Oreochromis niloticus: one gene and its partner. The protein of the gene in region 1 purifies or fractionates together with the protein of each later gene. This does not show direct contact. Links are inferred from orthologs where the notes say so. Each region holds a gene or a part of one and is shown in the gene's direction. Other genes may lie near its edges. The genes, in order: esyt1a and atl3.

What was found.
Region 2: the proteins of esyt1a (region 1) and atl3 purify together in Homo sapiens (affinity purification with mass spectrometry; 3 studies listed by BioGRID and IntAct, with this or other methods). This does not show direct contact. The link is inferred for Oreochromis niloticus from reciprocal best matches to the Homo sapiens genes ESYT1 and ATL3.

Annotation. Positions count from the first base shown.
Region 1 is NC_031984.2:19,574,791-19,585,178, reverse strand, and holds the start of esyt1a (extended synaptotagmin-1), read left to right. Parts: upstream 1-6,449; 5' UTR 6,450-7,079; coding exon 7,080-7,400; intron 7,401-8,186; coding exon 8,187-8,228; intron 8,229-9,892; coding exon 9,893-10,027; intron 10,028-10,161; coding exon 10,162-10,235; intron 10,236-10,388. UniProt on the Homo sapiens protein: Binds calcium (via the C2 domains) and translocates to sites of contact between the endoplasmic reticulum and the cell membrane in response to increased cytosolic calcium levels.
Region 2 is NC_031966.2:20,296,610-20,306,255, forward strand, and holds the start of atl3 (atlastin-3), read left to right. Parts: upstream 1-5,371; 5' UTR 5,372-5,532; intron 5,533-7,908; 5' UTR 7,909-7,928; coding exon 7,929-8,132; intron 8,133-8,723; coding exon 8,724-8,858; intron 8,859-9,646. Other genes in the region: si:ch211-145o7.3 (forkhead box protein N2), read left to right, coding at 1-513, 680-801, 1,765-1,844, 2,177-2,508. UniProt on the Homo sapiens protein: Atlastin-3 (ATL3) is a membrane-anchored GTPase that mediates the GTP-dependent fusion of endoplasmic reticulum (ER) membranes, maintaining the continuous ER network. It facilitates the formation of three-way junctions where ER tubules intersect.

The DNA of each region.
Region 1 (10,388 bases):
AAGTTACTCCTAATAGTTTCTAAAATCAACATTTGGGACCTCCCACATCTAACCAGTAAAAACAAATTGATTTCTTTTCCTCAGTTGTGGATGGTCTTAACTCCTGCCACGGGTTCACCACTGAGTCTGACAGTCTGTGTTTACATAAGAAGTCCATACCTGTTAAATATATGGATGCTTTTGTAAAACAAATCCCACTTTTAGAGACTATTTTTGGAAACATTAAAAAACCACCTGACATCATTTGTGTGCATTCTGCTTTGGTGTATTCATGAATAAAAGAGTGTTTTTACATTTTAAAAAGGTGAATGGACAACCGTTCTGAGTTGTTCTGCTCATTATTCCATCTTATTTATCGAGGGTCTGATCCCAGAGAGTTGGGACACGAGCCACTGGCCATGCTGGAGGATCAGGATTAAGTTATGCCCACATGTTTGATAGATCTTGGGTTTGGTTCACAGTAGTTGCATAGAAAAGTCGAGGGAACAATTTAATCACATTTGATTTTGATGGATCGAGTATACAAGCTGAATATCTTTACTGGTATAGTGTAATTTGTTTAGAAAATCTTTAACCCTTTGAGGGTTTCAAAGTCATTCCTGCATCATAATGATGCTCAGTAGTGTGTGTGGCCCCATGTGCCTGTGTGCACTCTGTTAACACCGAGACATGCTCCACTTGAGACAGCAGATGGTGTCCTGGGCCTTATATCCTAGACTTGGATCTGAATATGTGATCTTCCAGTGAGTTTGTCATCCAAGAACTGTGCCTCTGTTCATGTGAGGCTGGGTTTTACCCTATACCAGGAGGCTTACTGCGACTGGAGCAACAGAAGTCTGGCTTTGGTATAGGTTAGCATGTGTAGGTTTGTGCGACCATCCAAAGATACCTTTTCACTCTATCACCCTCTGACCCTCTACCAAACTGGTCATGCTGAATGATGTTGCAGGCAGACTCTTTCATGCCTGTCACACATGCTCAGTGTTTCATATGTGAAGTGAACGGGCATTATTGGTGGACCTGCCAGTTCTGGTGACTCCATAGTGCTGGGGTGTGGTCACAGGACCCCCATGCCTCTTCATGGAGTATACACACACTACCGGTCAAAAGAACACCCCACCCTCCAGTTATTTATTGCAATTCAAGTCGTTCAAGTCCGGTGATAGCTTAAAATGGTACAAAGGTAAGTGGTGAACTGCCAGAGGTTAAAAAAGGGTAATGTTACCCGAAATTGAAAATGTACATTTCAGAATTATACAAAAAGGCCTTTTTCAGGTAATGCAAAATGGGATAACAATTTAAAGCTGTTCTGCAGCAATGGAGGTTGATCAAGCCTTGAAAGCTGATGCTACTAATTCCTGCAGGGGTTCCAACTTTCCTGGATTACTTACAAAACCCCCTCTGCATAAAACTCTGTGAGCATCAGTTGAACAGTATTGTACTGCTGAAATTAGTGTGTTGCTACAGAAATGGTGAGGAAAAAGGCAATTAACAATGGAAGAGCGACAGACCATCATAACACTTAAAAATGTAGGTCTTTCCTGCAGAGAAATTGCAAAGAAAGTAAAGGTGTGCGTGAGTACAGTTTCCTTTACCATCAAAAGCCACTCAGAAACTGGGGCAAACTGACAGAGGAAGAGGTCTGGCAAACCCCAAACCCCAAATGAATCAGAGGACAAGTTTCTGAGAGTTAACAGCTTGCGTCATTGGCATCTTATCGAGCTGATTTGGGATGAACTGAACACATTTATGGGAGCTTTTGCGGGCGTGTTCAGCTGTTATATCTGCCAAAGGTGGCTACTTTGATGAGTCAAACGTTTAGAATACACTTTGGTCTATAAATTGATTCCATGATATCGTTTCTCACTCCAGTTGCTTATTTGTGCTATGCTTTAATTTCAGAGTGCAATGAGACATTAAACTCCATAATTTTCTACTAAAAAATGGAAAAATTGGGGTGTCCTAAAACTTTTGACCGGTGTAAATAGCCACTGGAGGTCATTTTGAAGGGATCTGGCAGTACACCTGTTCCTCCATGTACAAAGGAGCAGATACAGATCCATCTATATTGATCTATCTACAGGAGAAAGATCAAACCTTCCTGTGACAGCACATAAAAATCAAAAATCCTCAAGAATGAGATCTCCATACTGGATCAACCAAAGCAAGGTTTTCCAATGATGCCTACCAGTGCAATAAACTAGCAGGTTGTAGGTGGAAAATATGCTACTGTTGGGAAAGACTGAGGAGAAAAGGGGGAAGGTACGTTCAGTGGCAAAGTTTAAATGTAGGAATATCGTGGACGGGTGCAGAGGTGGGAGTGAGTCTATTATAAGTAAGATTTGATGCGATCTCTCGCACATGCGCGCTGTGTAAGTATTATTTAAAAATAAATGGTCCAATAACCCACTAATTTTATGATCCTTGCCACCTTGAAAACTCAATTTCCCATGTTTCGCTGGCGTCCATTGATAATGACGTAGGAGGCCATATAAATGGGACGTCTCAACGTTATGACGTCCTTCGTGGAGACGATTCCGTAGCGATCGGTGAGTGGGAATCGTTGGTGTAAGAATCCAAGTTAATCGTCTTAATATTAAGTCAATCGAACGTATCCGTAACATTTTCTTTCTGTTTGCAGCATTCCCACGTCGACATGAGAGCTAAGGTTGGTGTTTTGTGTCTCTGTCATGAGATAAATACAGTTTCCAGCGGGGCTACATTTGTTAGCTAGTCAGCAAGCTTGTGCAGTTTGACGGGCTAGCACAGCCATCAGAATTTAAAGTCATTCTTAAACAGATGTTGGCAGCTGCAGTCCATAATGAAATATTTTTGCCAATTTCTATAAAAGTGTTACTAATTGAACATTGTCTCTTTTCCGTAGTGGCGAAAGAAGCGCATGCGCAGGTAAGAGTCCGTTTTTATAGCCGTACAGTAATCCCTTTTGCATTCACACCCTTTTAAAATTTTTATTTTTTTATAACACCTGAAGTGTGACTGAACTTTGTGACGACTTCTGTACAGGCTGAAGCGCAAAAGGAGAAAGATGAGGCAGAGGTCCAAGTGAACTGTGCTCTCCGCCATGGCTGTGACGTCACATGCCGCCGACAACAACAACGGGACCGGTGAGCACAGCTGGAGACCCAGGACCCTCCCAAGTCAAGTCTGAGACCTGGAGCATCCACTTCTACCAGAGGCAGCAGCTGCTGGCTCACGCTTGGAGCTGTGATCGAACATCTGCTGGACGACGGCTTTTCCTCTGGGACATTCTGAACTCTTTGTTCTCAACTCCTCAGCTTTTGTCATATGTTTTTGTTTATACTGTGATTAAAGGTTTTGGTTAAAAAAGAAGACTTGAATAATGTTCTTTCTTTATATTTAAGCAATCTTTTCAAAGGGTCTCGAACTAAGTCAGTAAACCTACAAACTGCACCGACTGATCAACCTGTAGTACTCGAGTACAGTATGGCAAGCCATCTTAATACAAGATCACCGCCTTACTAATGTTTCATACTTTGGAGCATTGCTTGTGCATTTTAGGGTTTGGGACCGGCTTAAGGGTGGGAATGAAGTGTGTTAGGTTCACATCTACCCCCCTTTTATATAGACATTTTCCTTATTAGATTTTGCCAAATAGAAACCTTCAAACTGTGAGAACATTTTCTAAAGAAAAAAATTGAGCTTGTAGCTAAAATCCAGCCTAAACTTAACCATATGAGAATGTTGGGGGTTAAGATAATATAGGTAAAAAGAAGTCTTATATAGAAAGTGGTGGGATTTTTCTAGTGCTTGGGCAAATTTATGGAAAATTAAAATTTCTTTGTAAAGTTGTGTAAATGTACATTAAATATGTCTGTGTCATCACTCTTTAAAACCTGAGGATCCTGTATATATGTACTGTCTATGAATGACAAGACAGCTGATCTACCATGGATATTTGAATTTTATCTCCTCTAATTAATTTTCATGAGTAAGACTGACAAAAATAAGTCCCATTCAGTTAGATATTAACATCCTCACTTAGCGGTTGTAAAGCTATGACATACGAGAGGTGGCGCTCAGAATGCTGAATGGAAATGTATGGAAGATTTTGCAACAGCAAAGATGGGGATAGAAGTACAACTCAGAGGGGGGAAAGTTTTTTAAAACCTTTTTTAAGCAAAATAGATTTTAAACAAAAACTCTGAAGGGCTTTTTAAAAGATGTGACACGTGTTTCTGTACATGCAATTTTTACCCGGTGGCCACTGAAATACGTGCCTGGGGTTGTTTCAAGATGAATAGGCCGTGCTTCTAGAATGACTTCTCAGTTTTGCAGTTCAGATCATGTGGCAGGTGCATATCTAGGGACCTGACTTGCTTACAGACAGGCCTGTAATGCAAAGCTACAGATAATTAAAATAGAAAGTAAATCATTTTAGATGCTGTCCATAAACCATGATTTAAGTGGGTGTGTGAATGTTTTAACCTTTGGACAAAGCTGACTCAAAGGACAAACTTGTGAAATATGTCTGTAATGTTTTTACCCTTGAAGCCGGTCCACTAATTCATTCTCTCCTTGGCTACAAGGTGACGTATAATGAGGCCATTGCTGGAGAACGCAAAGGACAATAGTGTGTAGTAAATGTAACTGGAGAAGCACTCACTGCTTACAGTCCTGATCACAAAATTGTAGGGAGGTAAAGCTCTTTCCCCCAATAAAGACGAGATTTGACGACCATATTGATGAGCTTTGTTCTGAGTTTGTCCAGAGGTAGCCCCAGTAGCTGTATAAGCACTCTCACTTCTGATGCACACTCACTCATTTTGTTTGTAACAGATCTAAAATATGACAGAAACCACTCGGCTCATAATAGAGAATCAAGGTTTGCCCCCAGGAGGAGGAAAGAACTGAAGACATGGCAGTGAAATGAACATATTTAGTGAGGTTGTGGGAAGAGAACATGCAGTTTTCATTCTTTTAACAACTAAATCAAGAAGATAAGACATGTATGTGCAGTATCCTCATTAAAGATTCCTAAAATATTTCTTGACCAATCCACAAATTATTATTAAAGATAATGACCTTAAAAAATAAACGGCATCTTCTGTAATTGTGAAATTTCCTGTATAGGGGAAAATATTGATTACACAAGCTTGAATATTACTTGAACAACAACATGCAACATGTCTGCTCTCACGCTGGTAGGTAAACCAACGTTGATAAGTACTTGGCAAAGCCAGACAGACGATCAGATGACATGTGTGCTTTAACTTTGACACTTCTTGCATTTCTCTGCCCACATCATTTCCTCACAGATCACTCATCACCCTGTGACCACTATTTCTGCTTCTGCTGTAGAGCTACAGAGCACTTTTTGGTTTTTTATCTTAGGTTATGAGATGCAATCAAGCACTTGTTTTCTTTAATGTGTTTGGTTCCTTTTTGTGGGGACGACTTGAGGACATTTTGATGATTTTTACATTCAGCTGTGAACATAAGAAACACTGTTTGAAACAAATAACATAGTTCACGGATGGCTCAAATATACTGTTAATGGCTGTTTCACTTTGTGATTGACTGCGTTTAGATCAGCAAATTCACGTATACATTTCACTTAGCGGTACATTTTAATACACTGTATATAATAAGTAAATAAACAGGCCTAAAACATGAAATAAACACTCCTAAATACACATGGAGAAAAGAATGTTGTATGTGTTCGTTGAACATTGCTCTATTATTCCAGAGTATGCAATGCACGCTGCTCTATATTCAACACTAGAGTTGAGCAATTAAAAAAAAAGAAGTCTGGAACTATTTTGCACTTTGACACTCTGAATTTGTGTTTTGTGTTTAGAAAAATAAAAATCTTTGGGGGGGAGGAGGCAAATAGGGTCTAAATATCAAGCTATAACATGCCAAAATCGAATGTAAGCGATAAAGATGGGTTTGTGGTTTGTGGCGGTTATAAGAACAGAAATTGTGGCTCTAATAAAACCCTTCAAATTCTGAGAATAACAAGCTTCATAAAACATGATCTCCGCATTTCGTGGGCTCTCACAGTGAAATTTTGTTACTTTATAGGACTTGGCTGTTTATTGACAGTGTGTTCTTCCTGTCTATGTACACAAAGGATCATCAAACCCGTATCCCTCCAAGCAAATACTGATAACTGCCTGTATCCAAGGCAACAGGGGGGTATTTAAAACCTGGCCTGTTTTTCTAGCCATAAATGAAGCTATTAAGAAAAAAAGGGAGTGGGAGTGGAAAGACACATGACATGACAAATTCACCATTAGTTGTTATTATTATTATTTGTTTGTTTTTAACAGGTGCGTAATTATTACGCCAGAGTCAGATGGCGCAGATCCCGGAGGTGTCACGACTGTGCCTACTGGACCCAATCTTGTAAAAAAAACAAAAAACAAAAAAACAACACCTGCAGCTGATACAGACCTGTCGATAAAGGAACTGAGCACATGTTTATCAGTTGTTGGTGCCTTCATGATCATCTGTTAAAGCTGCTGCTGCATACTGCAGTGGGGATGGGCGCTTGCGCGAACAGGAGGATTTATTTCGGTCATGCAAAGAAAGATAACGGGGTGAGCAGCCTGTGCATTAGACGTACTACTCTGCTCTGGTTGTAGTGTGTCGTTTGGATAAACTGCTACTGTGAATCAAAAGTGTTCCGTGGTGTCTTTCTACATGATAAACATTCGTTCGCTTATCGGTAATACGCTCCGCCTGAGCAGTGTATGACGCTACAAGTAAATTCTAGGGTATGGGTTTCTACTGGATGTGAAGGAGGGCTTGAAGCCAAGCCCGCCCTCTCGAGACTTACTTCGTGCTTGCACTGCCTTCTCAGGAGCTTTACACGTAAATGCAAGACGAATAACCCTCAGTGCCCTGCGGAACTGCGCGGTGCACGTCGAAGAAAAGTGACAATGAAGTGACAGTCCGACGCTCGCCGATTATCGCCGACCTGTCCATGGTTATCGCGGTGAAACGGCAGTGAGTTGACCCCTATCCCTTGCCACTCAAGAAGAAGAAGCCGAAAAGCTGAAGACCAGATCGAGCTAGTGAAGTCTGATCTTGCCATGCCAACCGCGGATGCAGAGCCGAGCATCGGCACGGAGCCTCTAGCCCCGGTCTCAGAGAACCAACCCCAGGGTGAACGCGCAGTGAGTGTGCTGTGGTCGTTTGGGAAATGCCTGGGTGCTCTGCTACCAGTGTACCTGGCCGGATATTATGGCTTCAGCGTCACCATTGTTCTGTTCGGTCTGGTGATCTACATGGGATGGAAACACGGGCGACAAGGGAAAGTGATGAGGCTCAAGTCTGCCATGTACCTCCTGGAGAACGAGAAGGAATTCACCACTCAAACGGTTTTCAGAGCCAAAAGAGATTTGCCTCCCTGGGTGAGTACTGACACCCCTTCTGTTATGGTCATTCTCTGCGGAGTGCATCACACGCCACATCTGCCACAAATGTCAGGCTGATACTTGTGGCAATATTATTCATTTTTATAGTTCTTCAAGTGAAAACACAAAGTCAGGTCGACTTTTACTTCACGGCACTCTCACGAATAGAAGCGATAGTTGATAATGTTGATATGCGCATTAGTCTGAACTGCTGCCTTCTCACAGAATGTGAACTAACATGTCATGATGATGACTTTGTAGTAGAAAGGTGGAAGCCTGGCAGTGAGCTTTAGAGGAACTTGTGAAACAGCAATCTGTGATTCTAGTGAACAAGTCATTTCATCCAGTGGTATGAGAAATTATCCGAGGGCTTTCCTCTTCCCGTTTCACTACTGTTGACCTTATCTGGCTCCTAAAAAACCTGATGAGTCATAAACAACATTCACAGCAGAAGCAAAGACCACCATATCTGGAAAGAGAGCCGGAGGGTGTGTGTGTGTGTGTCTGTGTGTGTGTGTCTGTGTGTGTGTCTGTGTGTGTGTCCTTGTGATGTTAAATGTGCATCATGCGGTTTATGGTTTCCTGAAATATTTTTAGTGACAATATTAGTGTTACTTGTTTTTCATCTCTTTTAGCGTTAACATAAATGTATATACTTTTAGTAGAAATAAGATGACGTAACAAATAAGTGCATTGAGATTAAACTCTTTTTTTTAATCAATTTATGTTCAAATAAAAAAGTAAACAAAAACAATAATATTTTATTTACACTATTGTTCACAGGTCAACTTTCCAGATGTGGAAAAAGTTGAGTGGGTCAATAAGGTATGTTTTTTTTATTTCCTGCATAACTTTGCATGTGTGCAATGGTATAGATTTCTATGAGAAATTCATATTTTTTGAAACATCTGGTTCAGCATGCAACTCTTTGCATAATTTCTTCATTTGATGTCTTAGCAAAGCAAAGGAAGCTGCAAAAAGCCCAAACTGAAGATAAGGCGTTCACGATTCACTTGATTAACTTGTATATTAGCTTCAGTGTCTCCAATTTAATATTAAGATAAAGAGCGCTTGTGTGGACTTTAAGGGACCCGGCTCCAGTTGCAGGCTCTCCATCAGTGCAGATAATCTGCTGGTGTGATTAAGAGGCAGTGAGAGTGGCCGGGATCATATCGCAGCTTCTTTGTCTCTGTCAGTGCAGCAGCTTCACGTAGGCACAGAGAAAGCGTGGATGTGAATACTAATAATACAAAACACCCATTTGGAGGGGGAAAAAATACAATGAACTCGATGACAGAAGCCCAGACTGTGGGATAGCAATTTGCTGGACTCATCTGTCACCCTGCCCACGTCTCGCCTGCAGGTTTCCTGACACATGACCTAGCACCTCACTTCCAGCTGTAAACAAGTCGAGGGAGCCTCAAAATGTTCTCACCTTTTGTTGCATGTGTGAACTTTTAAAAAGTATTGCATGTGCATATGAAAAACAACGTACGGGGTTGCACTGTTATAAGCATGTGCATGAGTGTAACATAAATAATGCACAGGTGAGCTGCAAAATGTTAGTAATGACTAGTGACAGTGTAGTCACAGTGTAGAGGTCAGAGGATTGGTAAACTGTAGCTAAAAGGATTTGGCACCACTGCTGCACTTCTCTCACTGAAATGCTGAAGATAACACCAGTGTGATGCTCTGTGGACTGATAAGACTGGTGAAAGTAAGGCATCACACAGACTCCCTGTAAATATATTAAATTCAATTTACTGCACTAAGGTTTTAGTCTACAGAACAATAATTTATGAATTATTTCCTTAACACTTGGGTGGCTCTCAATAAGCAAGTCCTGGATGTAAATACTTGGAGTTTGCATGTTCTCCCCATGTCTGCACGGGTTCTCTCTCTCTCTAGTCTACCTCTTGTCCCATGACAGCTGGAATAGACTTTTTTCTCATTTTTTACTTCCATCAATTTTCTTTGAAATTATTTTATGAACAGACAAACCAAACCAATTACATAACCTCTCTGACAGAGTTAATAAAATTAGAATGCAACCCATATCCTCACTTGAACTTGTTACATTGATATGGATTGCATTCTAATCTGATTAACAAGGAGGTTGTGCAATTGGTGTGGTTTGTCTGTTTGTTAGCAGAGGTGGAGCTCGATTAAATGTAGATGTGATCTCGATCTAGAAATGTGTTTTCATAATTGGAAATTTTGCATAATGTCTACATAAATACATATCGGACAGAAATGTGAAGAAATGTAAAAATGGGAAACATTGTTTGATGTCTTGTTAGGAAAATATAAAATAATCTTAATCTTGACGTCCTTCTCTGTATGCAATCTTCAATTAGTGTGTGGTATGAAGGGAGCTTTGTTTTCCTCAGTGGAGGTGTGCAGTCTCATACTGCTCTTGTAGAGGTAGCTTCTCTTTTCCTTATTCAAACATAAAAACCTTACCAGTGGCCATATGTTGTGTTCTACAGATCCTGCAGCAGGCTTGGCCCTTTATTGGCCAGTATCTGGAGAAGTTACTTGTGGAAATCGTTGCTCCTGCCATCCGTACTTCTAGCATTCATCTGCAGACTCTGAGCTTCACCAAGGTTAACATAGGCGACAAGGTATCTGAGCGGCCTGTCACACACACCCACACACACAGCAATTTCAGTTTATTACAGTTGACTTTTTCTGCTAATGTGGTGTCATCAAGTCTCTGTCAGTCTTGTTTGCTTAATAGCAGCTGCTGTGTTCACAGGCGCTGAAGGTGGCTGGCGTAAAGGCTCATACGGAAAATGATAAGAGACAAGTTATGTTGGATTTGTACTTAAGGTAATCCAACACATCAGAGATTAATTTCATATGTTATACCTCTGTCTATCTGCCCAAATAGGTTGGTCAAGTCAAACTCTAAAATGTTCTTGTAAGTGTTCTAAAGCTTCCTGCAAGGGCTTGGCCCTGTCTTGAACAACAGAACAGTGTTTA
Region 2 (9,646 bases), on another chromosome or scaffold:
TCCTCACCCCAGCATACCTCCTCAAATGGTCCCATTTCACTGCCACTTTCGCCTATCTCTTTCCCGCCATCCCCAGCCTCATTTTCTCCAGCAACAGCAGAGTCTGTTCACTCCTGCTCCCCTCTTTCACACTTTACAGTGTCTCATTGCCTCGAAGGACAAAGCGTAGCTGACCAAGATGACCTGACCTGTCTCAGCTGGCTGCATCAGAGAGGGAATCTGCTGCCACTGCAGCCCCTCACCAAAATGACACCGCTGCCTCAGCAGGAGCCCTCCATGGCTTCCCAGCTTCTTCCCGCTGCTTTGTCCAAGCCGCCGTACTCCTTTAGCAGTCTGATTTTCATGGCAATAGAAGATTCGCCACAAAAGAGGCTTCCAGTGAAGGACATCTATGAATGGATTGTGAACAATTTCCCCTACTACAGGACGGCAACGGGTGGCTGGAGGAACTCTGTCAGACACAATCTGTCTCTGAGCAAGAGCTTCCGACGCATTCAGAGAGACAAGAGCCAGGTGGGTGCTTAAATAACAGAACAACACCAAACTCATTGATCTGAGTGAACTCCTCATTGAATCCAGATGGTCTGAATTCAAAACATTGGTTACAACTCCCGAAAATGACTTGTGCTGTGTTTTTGAAAACTAGCATCTGTTACATGGATTTGTTTGTTTGTTGCAGTCAGTGGGGAAGGGATCGCTGTGGTGTGTGTGTCCAGAGTACCGGCCAGCGCTCCTCGAAGTGCTCAGGAAGACCCACAGTTATCACAGCAACAACAGCAACCTGTTACACAAGCCTGCACTGTGAGTATCTGCAATAGGGATTTGTAAAAACTAGCTTTAGCGCCCCATGCTAAGGAACGGCCAGAAAATCCAAATTGTTCAACAAGAAATGAGTCACCCCTCTTTTCTTTATATTTTACTCTGAAAATGGGGAAATAGAGACAGAGATTTATTGGAATATGTGCAGACATACATGGAAATATGGGTACTTTTTAAGGCTTGAATGATTCATAGGTCAACGTAAAAATTCTTCTGAAAATGGTCAGGTACAAAACCTGGAGTGTGAGTGACTGAAAAGGCAGCCAACGTCCGAAGAAAAACTTTGAAAGACGTTCAGAAAGCTGAGGGAACTATTGGACAGGACTAATTTTAAAAATTACAGTAAATTCGGTTACATGGAAGCAAAATAAAGATTTGAGGGTGGCTCAATATTTTTGCACAATACGGTAGTTGATGTGTAAAGGATCTTCAGTTTTAAAAAGAAAAATATGCAAACATTTACAGGCATCGACCTCTCTTAAGGTTTTGCTGCCTTTCTAAGTAAGTTTTTAACGCGGTGCTGGTGAAACATTAAGGGGCTTCCACACAGGAAGTGACTCGCAGCAATGTGGTTTCCAGAGAAGTCAGTGACATTCAGTGACTTCGAGTGACGATGGTCCCAGGTTAAACCTTTCTCAACTCCTCTGGTCTCCACGTCATTGCAACTGAAGGTGATGCAAAATGCTGACTTTATTAAACTGAATATTTGGGTATTCCTTCACTATCTTTTGCCTTTTTTTTAAAATAAGCAAACATATTCACTGATATATTGCAGAAGTAGGATGAAATATCATCCATAGCTGTCGTCCTACATGCTATTTTTCTTTTAACACAGTATATTTCTCTGCTTACCCACCACATCAGTAAAATCTAATATGTGAATAGTGAAGGAGTGTTTCTAAATAATTTTAATGTCTCTCTTGCTGTGATGTGTGTTGTGCGCAGGTTGGAGGGAGAAAGCTACAAGATGCCTGCTGAGTGTGATTCGATGGAAATATCAGGTCAGGACCTACATACTGGACCCGGTATGAAATTGTTTCAGTCGTTTTATCGGCGGAGTAACAGCCCTCTGTGACACTTTTATCACCTGCAGCTTGTCTGTAGTTTTGCAGCTTTCCCAGCATGCATCATTGTTCCTGTGTTTGTGTTCTGTTCTCATGGAAACTGCCTTCCATTACCTTGGCAACCCGGCAATAGCCTGGCTTTTTATGAGTGCCCCCACCCCACCCCCTCCGTTTTATTTCCAAGCCTCTTTGCCACACGGGCCCACGTCCTCGCTAAAGAATCCCACAAGTGGTTGTTCAGCCAAGCTGCAGGAAGATGGGTTATTAATGTTAATGTTGTCTTTCTCATGCAGATCCCCTTTCTCACACCCTCCTCCTGTCCACCGCCGATAGTCCGATTTTAGCCGAAAACCCGCTGTGCCTTCTGACCCCGGATCATGAGGAGCTCGTCACCATGGAGTCTGTGGAATACCAGCAGGAGGAGGTGTGCGAAGACATGGAGAAGGACCCCCTGTCTGACAGCGGTTACATCGAGCTGCACTATTACGAGTCTCAGCAGTACCAGTACCTTGTGCTGCCGGACGACACCGAGCTCGACCTGGAGACCGTGGAGATCCTGCAGCTTGATGCCGAGGCCCAGGAGGCCGCCGGGTCACTGCTGGACCTCGCAGGCGGTGGATATTAGTTCAGATCCTCAAAGAAACCCTCCTGGTACGACAACACTGCCCTATAGCCTGTTTACTGCCCTGTAGTGATGTTACAGTATAGATCAAATTAACTGATGGAGTATCGTTCCACATAATTTCAGGCTTCCAGTACACAAGCTGAATATATCACCATAGCATCCCATCCAGCCTGAACAGAGCCTTCAAGGTGTAGAACTGAGACAAAAGTATTAAAAATTAAGTGATTCCACAGTGATTTTCTAACATGTTAACATCGTTCTCAGGGGTGGAAGGAGTGCTTCAAGCTCAATACAGAGTGCTGTTTCTCGACTGAGAAGTTTCCCATTTTCAGGGGTGACTAACACGCTGTTGAAATGTTCACGTTTAATGTACAGCGAACAGCACATTGACTCACTTCCACATCGTTACCAGTAAAATATGAATATGTGTTACCCTCTTTCACTTGTTCTAAGCGGTGACCGTCTTTTCTTTCTAAGAAAGTTTCTGTAGGACATTCAAAGTAAACTGTAGTTGACAGTCTTTGTTGTTTTCAGCAACACTGTTGCTTTGATAGTTGAAGAAAACAGATAAAAAAAATTATTTATAATGTAGCTATGATTTTAGATTGTACTTAAGAAGTACAGGGAAGCACTTCTCAGTTATAATAAGTACTTCAAATTTTATTTCTAATGGTTTTTAATGTCCATTATTTTCAAGATTATCTTTGCTTGAGTTTATTTTATTTGCACGATGTCTTCAATCAGGAACAGTTTGATTGACTCACTGCCATTTTAACCACTTTACATGTCGGTTACACTGAAATTCTCTTCATAAATTGTATGTATTTACAACAGTTTTGGGTTTTGTAATCTAATAAATAAAATCTGTGATGCCGTTCTTCTGAGCTGTGCATCGGTTGTTATAGTTTTGGTTTTATTTTGTTTTTAATGTTTGTTTTCCGCTTCAGTGAGTTTGCTTGGTTTGGTTTAGTTTGATTTGGTTAAATAAGTTTTTAATGATAATGTCAAAGTTATGATTTAAGAAATTCAGAATAGATTTGTACAGGACAAATAAAACATTTTGTGCAGCCAGTGCATTCACAGTTTTAATATGTGCACCGGTCCCTCTGTATACCGCACTGGACCCCTACATGTCTTCATGTGAGTGGTGGACATGTAGCTCTGTGGGCTAACGCCTGACCATCAGGCACTTGCCCCAAAATAGCTTAAGAACTATTCTACAATTATGGGACATTTTCTTTTCCAGCCATGAATTTGAAAATAGTCCATGCACAAAATACTAAACATACATTTGTTGTGTGCACCTGAGACAAAATGCGGACCCAGTTGTTGAAAAAGTTGTTCCAAAATATTATTTCAACTCCTCAAAAAAGGACATTTATCTTTTGGCCCAACTTCTTGATAACCAAATTACATGTCGTATATAACTGTTTCAATATTTTGTTTACGCTTACAATTATTTAGCTATCTTCAAGATCAACATATTTTAAAGAACAGTAATTATGAACTGCAAGTTATGTCTCACAACATATGTGCCATCCTGTGACCGAAACTTATGTAGCCTAGAAATGGAAGAGATAAAACAGTGAGCTGGCATGGTAAAGAGGAAGTGGCATGAACATCATGGGTAGACCAAAGGTCAGTTCTCTTTGACATATTTGCATTTTTCTTGACTTTTCTGATTATATAGAATGTGTCACTGTAACTAATGCAACCGTGTTACCCAATTTACCAGAAGAGGACAAATGAAAGGTTCCTTAATTTTTAAAAACTACGTTTATCCTTGACTTTCAGTCCATTACATCCCATCAGTTTTTTTCCTGAGAAAACACTAATACTACCACTATTGCCTTTGTAATAGTTTGAATTATTATATAAAAGATTGTATTTGAGCAAAGAGTTGTGACTCTTGAAAAGGTAGAATTCCAAATTTTCTTAAATTGATATAAATGAGGTTTTATTGGAAACTGAATAAGTATTTAGTAATGAAGTATGCTAATTAAATTGTCTACTTTTTTAGGTTCTGGGATATTAGTGAGATGCACCAAGCATCCACGACTGAAACACTTTTGATGCCTGAACTGTACAAATCGAATTTCTTTAAGGTTTAATATTTGTTTTTAACTGAAAATTATAACATAAAGGGTCTATTAGTCCACATTTTACATTGTTTAAAGCCCAAATGGGTTATGGGTTTATAGCTAAAAAAAAATCCATAAATAGAATAAAAAGGAGAAATAAAATAAAAGAGCCCAGTAAATACAAATGTGATTATAAATCAGTAGGCTGCTTGGCAAGTAAAAAACAAAGTAACTACAGGTACGAGGAAGGAACGTTTCCATCTGTATGTCATTGTGGTTGTTTTTTGTTTCTTCTCTAGTTAGTTTGACTGTTTGTTTAAAAATAATAATCTTGTTAGCTTTAAATGTTAATTTTCTGAGTCTATCGGCTTCAGGTTTGCTTTAAAATGCTGCTGGATATGTTTGGGTGTCTCTGTGTGATGAGTTTTACCTGGTGGCTTTATAGACAGTGATTGGCTGCACCGGGAGAGGGCGCAACAGCCACGGCTTACTTAACGCAGACACACATATGTGACAATGAAAAACAACCCAAACAAAACAAAACAAAGCCCTTTTGCAAACCTGCTGTGTCTGTTCAGTTTCCTCTGCGCAAATCCTTAGGCTATTATTTGTATAAACGCAAAACACCCGGGACTGTTTTACATTACCTGTCTGGTAGTTCCGTATTCGTAACTTGACGGTAAAAACTACATTTCCCAGAGCTGTTAGACATTTGGCTAGTTGGGACGTGTAGTTCATAGAGATACTGGAGCGCCGGCAGAGAAACCTGTTGTAAAACTACATTTCCCTTGTGGCATTTCGCAGGCTGGAGGCAGGAAGTGTGTGGAAGTTTGTTGATGGAAAAAAGTTCTAATGGTTATTTTCATGCCAGTGTAAAAAGTTACGTTTCTCTGGTTTGGCGACTCTCAGAAGACTGTGCCGAAGCTGTTTGGAGACACCAAAGGTAACATTAAATCACTAAACAGGAGCTAAAGAGCGCAGAAGCGTTTTTAAAAGCTAGTTTTAGATGTTTTAACACTTTTTTTTAGCTAACAACGGTAACGTATGTCAGCGTTTTGCTGGTGTTTGAAAGCTTGTAGCCACACAAGAATTTAGCTGCATCCGTTAACTTGTACGTTAGCTCAGTGACTGTGAGCTGTAGTTTGTTATTTAGCTTTTCGGAGAAGTTCAGGTCGATGTCAGTACAGTTCGGGTTAGCTGTGCTCTTCGCAGAGCTGTCAGTTCAGTGCTAATGTCATGTAGCTTCATAACAGATCAGTCTCGTACACTTAGTTTATCTCGTTTTTAGATTGCAAAGTGCAAGCAGATTTGGTCTGAAATGCATATTTTTTTCTGCTTGGTAGCATCAAGGCTTATGAACACAGTCACTGCAGAGAAATGGTTGGTATGCTGCTCCTCACCGCCACACCTTTGAGGTAGTGAGCATTAACCGAAAGCAGGCAGCTTTCTGGGTATTATAAGCTTGTATCCAGACACCTCCCTGTCTTACTCATCGCGGGAAAAGACATCCACCCTGCAAAATCAGCGACAGTGGAGTGTATTGAAACCATCAGGGGTAGCAGGGAAAGCATGCTTCAGGCAAAGCAGCGTGACACCCATAAGAGGAGCCCTCCGTCAGCTTCACACAGAGCCTGATATTGTCCCTGATGGAGGGACCAGTGCACGCCTGATTTCTGTCAGCAAGCCCAGGAAGCATAAGTGAAGTCTTAGTGAAGCTGGAGATGTCTGTTGTCATCATACATTCAGCTAATGATGAATGAAGCTTTCCTAATAGTTTTCTTGTGACCAACTTGAACAAATTTTTGAATGATTTCTTCTCTGGTGATAGGCAGACATAGGCGATATTTTCTCGTTAGCTTCTCTAGTTTGTTAGCACAAATGTCATAGGATTGTATCAGCATTGCACAAATATGTTGGCTGATTTTGTAACTCAGTACATCAGGTTTTTGTGGGCAAAATCTACAAAACGAGTGCAACAAAGAGCTGAAAGGCTTTAATGCAGTTTAGGTATTATTTATTTGTAAAGACAACTGAACCACTTTCCTGGCAAAAAGGAGAAGATTAAAAAACAAACCAAAAACATACAGAGGCCCAGAATATAAAAATCAGTTTATTACTACCCTCACTGACCACTTTATTACTGAGTTGGACCTTCTTTTTGGTCCCAGAGCTGTCTTAAATCTTCGTGGCATATCAAGATGCTCGAAACATTCCTCAGAGATTTTGGTCCATGTTGACATGATGGCACCACACGGTTACTGCAGATTTGTCCGCTGCCATAATGCGAATCTCCTGATTCATCCTAAAGGTGCTCTGTTGGCTTCAATATGGTGTGGAGGCCAAATATTTGAATATAATGGACTCATTGTCATATTCAGAAAACTTCTTTGAGATTATTTGAGCATTGTGACATGCTGCATCATCCTGCTGGAGGTGGCCATCAGAAGATGCATACACTGTGGTCATAAAGGGATGGGCATGGTCAGCAACAACACTCAGGAAGGCTGTGGCATTTAAGCAGTGCTCAGCTGGCCCTAAGGAGGGCAGACTATGCCAAGAAGATATCCCCCACAACATTACATCACTGCCACCAGCTAGAACTGTTAATTCAAATCATAATGGATCTGTGCTTTATTGGTGTTTATGCCAAATTCTGATCCTTCCATCCAAATTTTGCTGCAGAAATTGAGACTCATCATCAGCCCCGGCAAGATTCTTGAGCCAGTGTGAATTGTAGCCCCTGTTTCCTATTTATCTGCCGCAACCGGTTGGGGTGATGGCAGGACGACAAGACAAATTTATAGATGCTCTTCTGCATACCTTTGTCGTAACAAATGCTTATTACTGATGTCTTCCTGTCATTTCCAGACAGTCTTGTTTTTCTGCTCCAGCTTCACCAAGCACATTGCTGCTTACTGAATAGTTTCTCTTTTTCAGAAGATCTTTCAAATCATCTTCTGCAAACCCTACAGATGGTTATGTGGGAAAATCAGAGTACATCAGCAGTTTCTGAAATACTAAGAACAATTTAATGTTCCAAGTAGTATGATTGTTGCTATATAATAATGTTCAGCTAAGATGCACCAATCTATTGCCCAACATATTGGAGTATATCGTGCCATATTGCATGTGGCAGTGTGTTAGTAGGTGAATTTCATCTGTTGCTTCATGAGTTTTGCTCTGATTTACTGTTCAAGAATGGCATAGTATATGCTTGTTTTTTCTTTTTTTCAAGAAAAAAAGAAAAACATTCAATTATAAAAATTCATAATTAGTGTTGATTTTGTTTTGGTGTTTCTTTGTTTGTGATCTCGCACAGGGACCAGAACATCAAGAATAATGGGGAGCGAACCAGGCCCAGTTCAGATTGTCAATGTGTGTAAGGACGATCACTCTTTCACCTTGGAGCTCAATGCTTTGAGTCAGATCCTGCTGAACCCCAAGGTCCGAGACAAACGCGTGGTGGTGGTGTCAGTGGCCGGAGCCTTCAGGAAGGGGAAGAGCTTTCTGCTCGACTTCATGCTTCGATACATGCACAGACAGGTGAGACGTGCTGTAACCTGATCCTTCAGCGTGTCTCATCATCATATCTCTGTAAGATCAGCTAAAGTGCACTTCAGAGATCAGCTGAAGTGCACTTACAGTATCAGATGCTGGACTCTCATTGTGTGAAGCTAAGCTTCAGAGCAGGGTGCTAGAGATAGATTTTTGTCCTAAAGGTGTGATAACCTGTAGAATTAGTCCTGGTGTGTGGATTGCATGAGGACAGATGTGCCCCTCCCTGCTCTAACATGTGAACTAACTAGTTTACTGACTAGGAGTAAATGAGAATTTTGCCATGACCACTAAGGAGTAGAGTCTGTGAATGCCCTCTCTTAATTTCATTACTTTTATTCATTACTTTTACCATAGTGCCACCATCTGGCCTCACAACATGACTATTATGACATCTTTCAGTCACTGAACACTTTACACTCCACTGGGTACTTATTTGTTATGTAAATTATACAAAACAATTGGGATCTCCATTCATAATTCAGGGTATGGCTGAGTGAATAGCACTGAAGCTTTACCTGAAGGCCTCGGCTTTGCTGTGATGGGGGTTTAAAAGTGAAGTTTGCATTTCTGTGTTAGGACGAGGAGAAATGGATGGGTAACGATAACGAGCCTCTGACCGGGTTTTCTTGGAGAGGAGGGTCAGAACCAGAAACATCAGGCATCCAGCTGTGGAGCGAAGTTTTCCTTGTCCAAAAGAGCGATGGTGAAGAGGTACTCTAACATTTATGTGTGATTATTTGTTTTAAGAGAGTAAACATGTAAGCACTCAGATTTACTAATGGAATTCATATTGAAATATTGAGCTGATGTTCATTCATTGTTTTAGTTTTTCAGTGCCATAGTAATTTCTGGTCTCAGCCTTTCCTCTAACCTTTAGTCTGTGCTTATTACTTTATTACTCTAGCTGTAAAGGAATAAACGACATTTTGTAGGTTTGTATTTTATATTATTAAAAAGTGATGATTAAGTAACAAAGGTTTATAAATGCAGTGGACAGATCCCTGCATGCTGCAAGTGTCACTGCTACAAAGAGATGAGCTGGTTTCTGTTAGCCTCCAGCAAAGTTTAGAAGCAATCTTCTAAATTTAGACCAAGCGGTTCATCTGCCTACAGGCGTCTTTAGCTGCTTTTTCTGAAGGCAATTGTTCTGGGAGGATTTTTTTCCCCCTAACTGTCAAAACAGGTAATCTGGTGACTTTCTTATTGTCATTTTATTAATGTAAAAAAAATTGCGTTAAAGAAATTCTGCTTCTCTAAGATGGACTTTTATACCCTTGATGACCTTGACCTCAAGGTTAGAGGTCAGACATCCGTAAGCTGTATAATCATGTTTTGTTTCTAGATTCCTTGCATTCCTCATTTCTGCGTGTGGTGTCAGAGTATTTCAGTCATATCACAGATGAGTATAAAAGTTGAATGAATGAAAGCAAGGTTGGACGGTGGTTCAGATGCAGTAACTCATTAATACACGCATTTCAAACCTGTTTTAGAAATGTTTT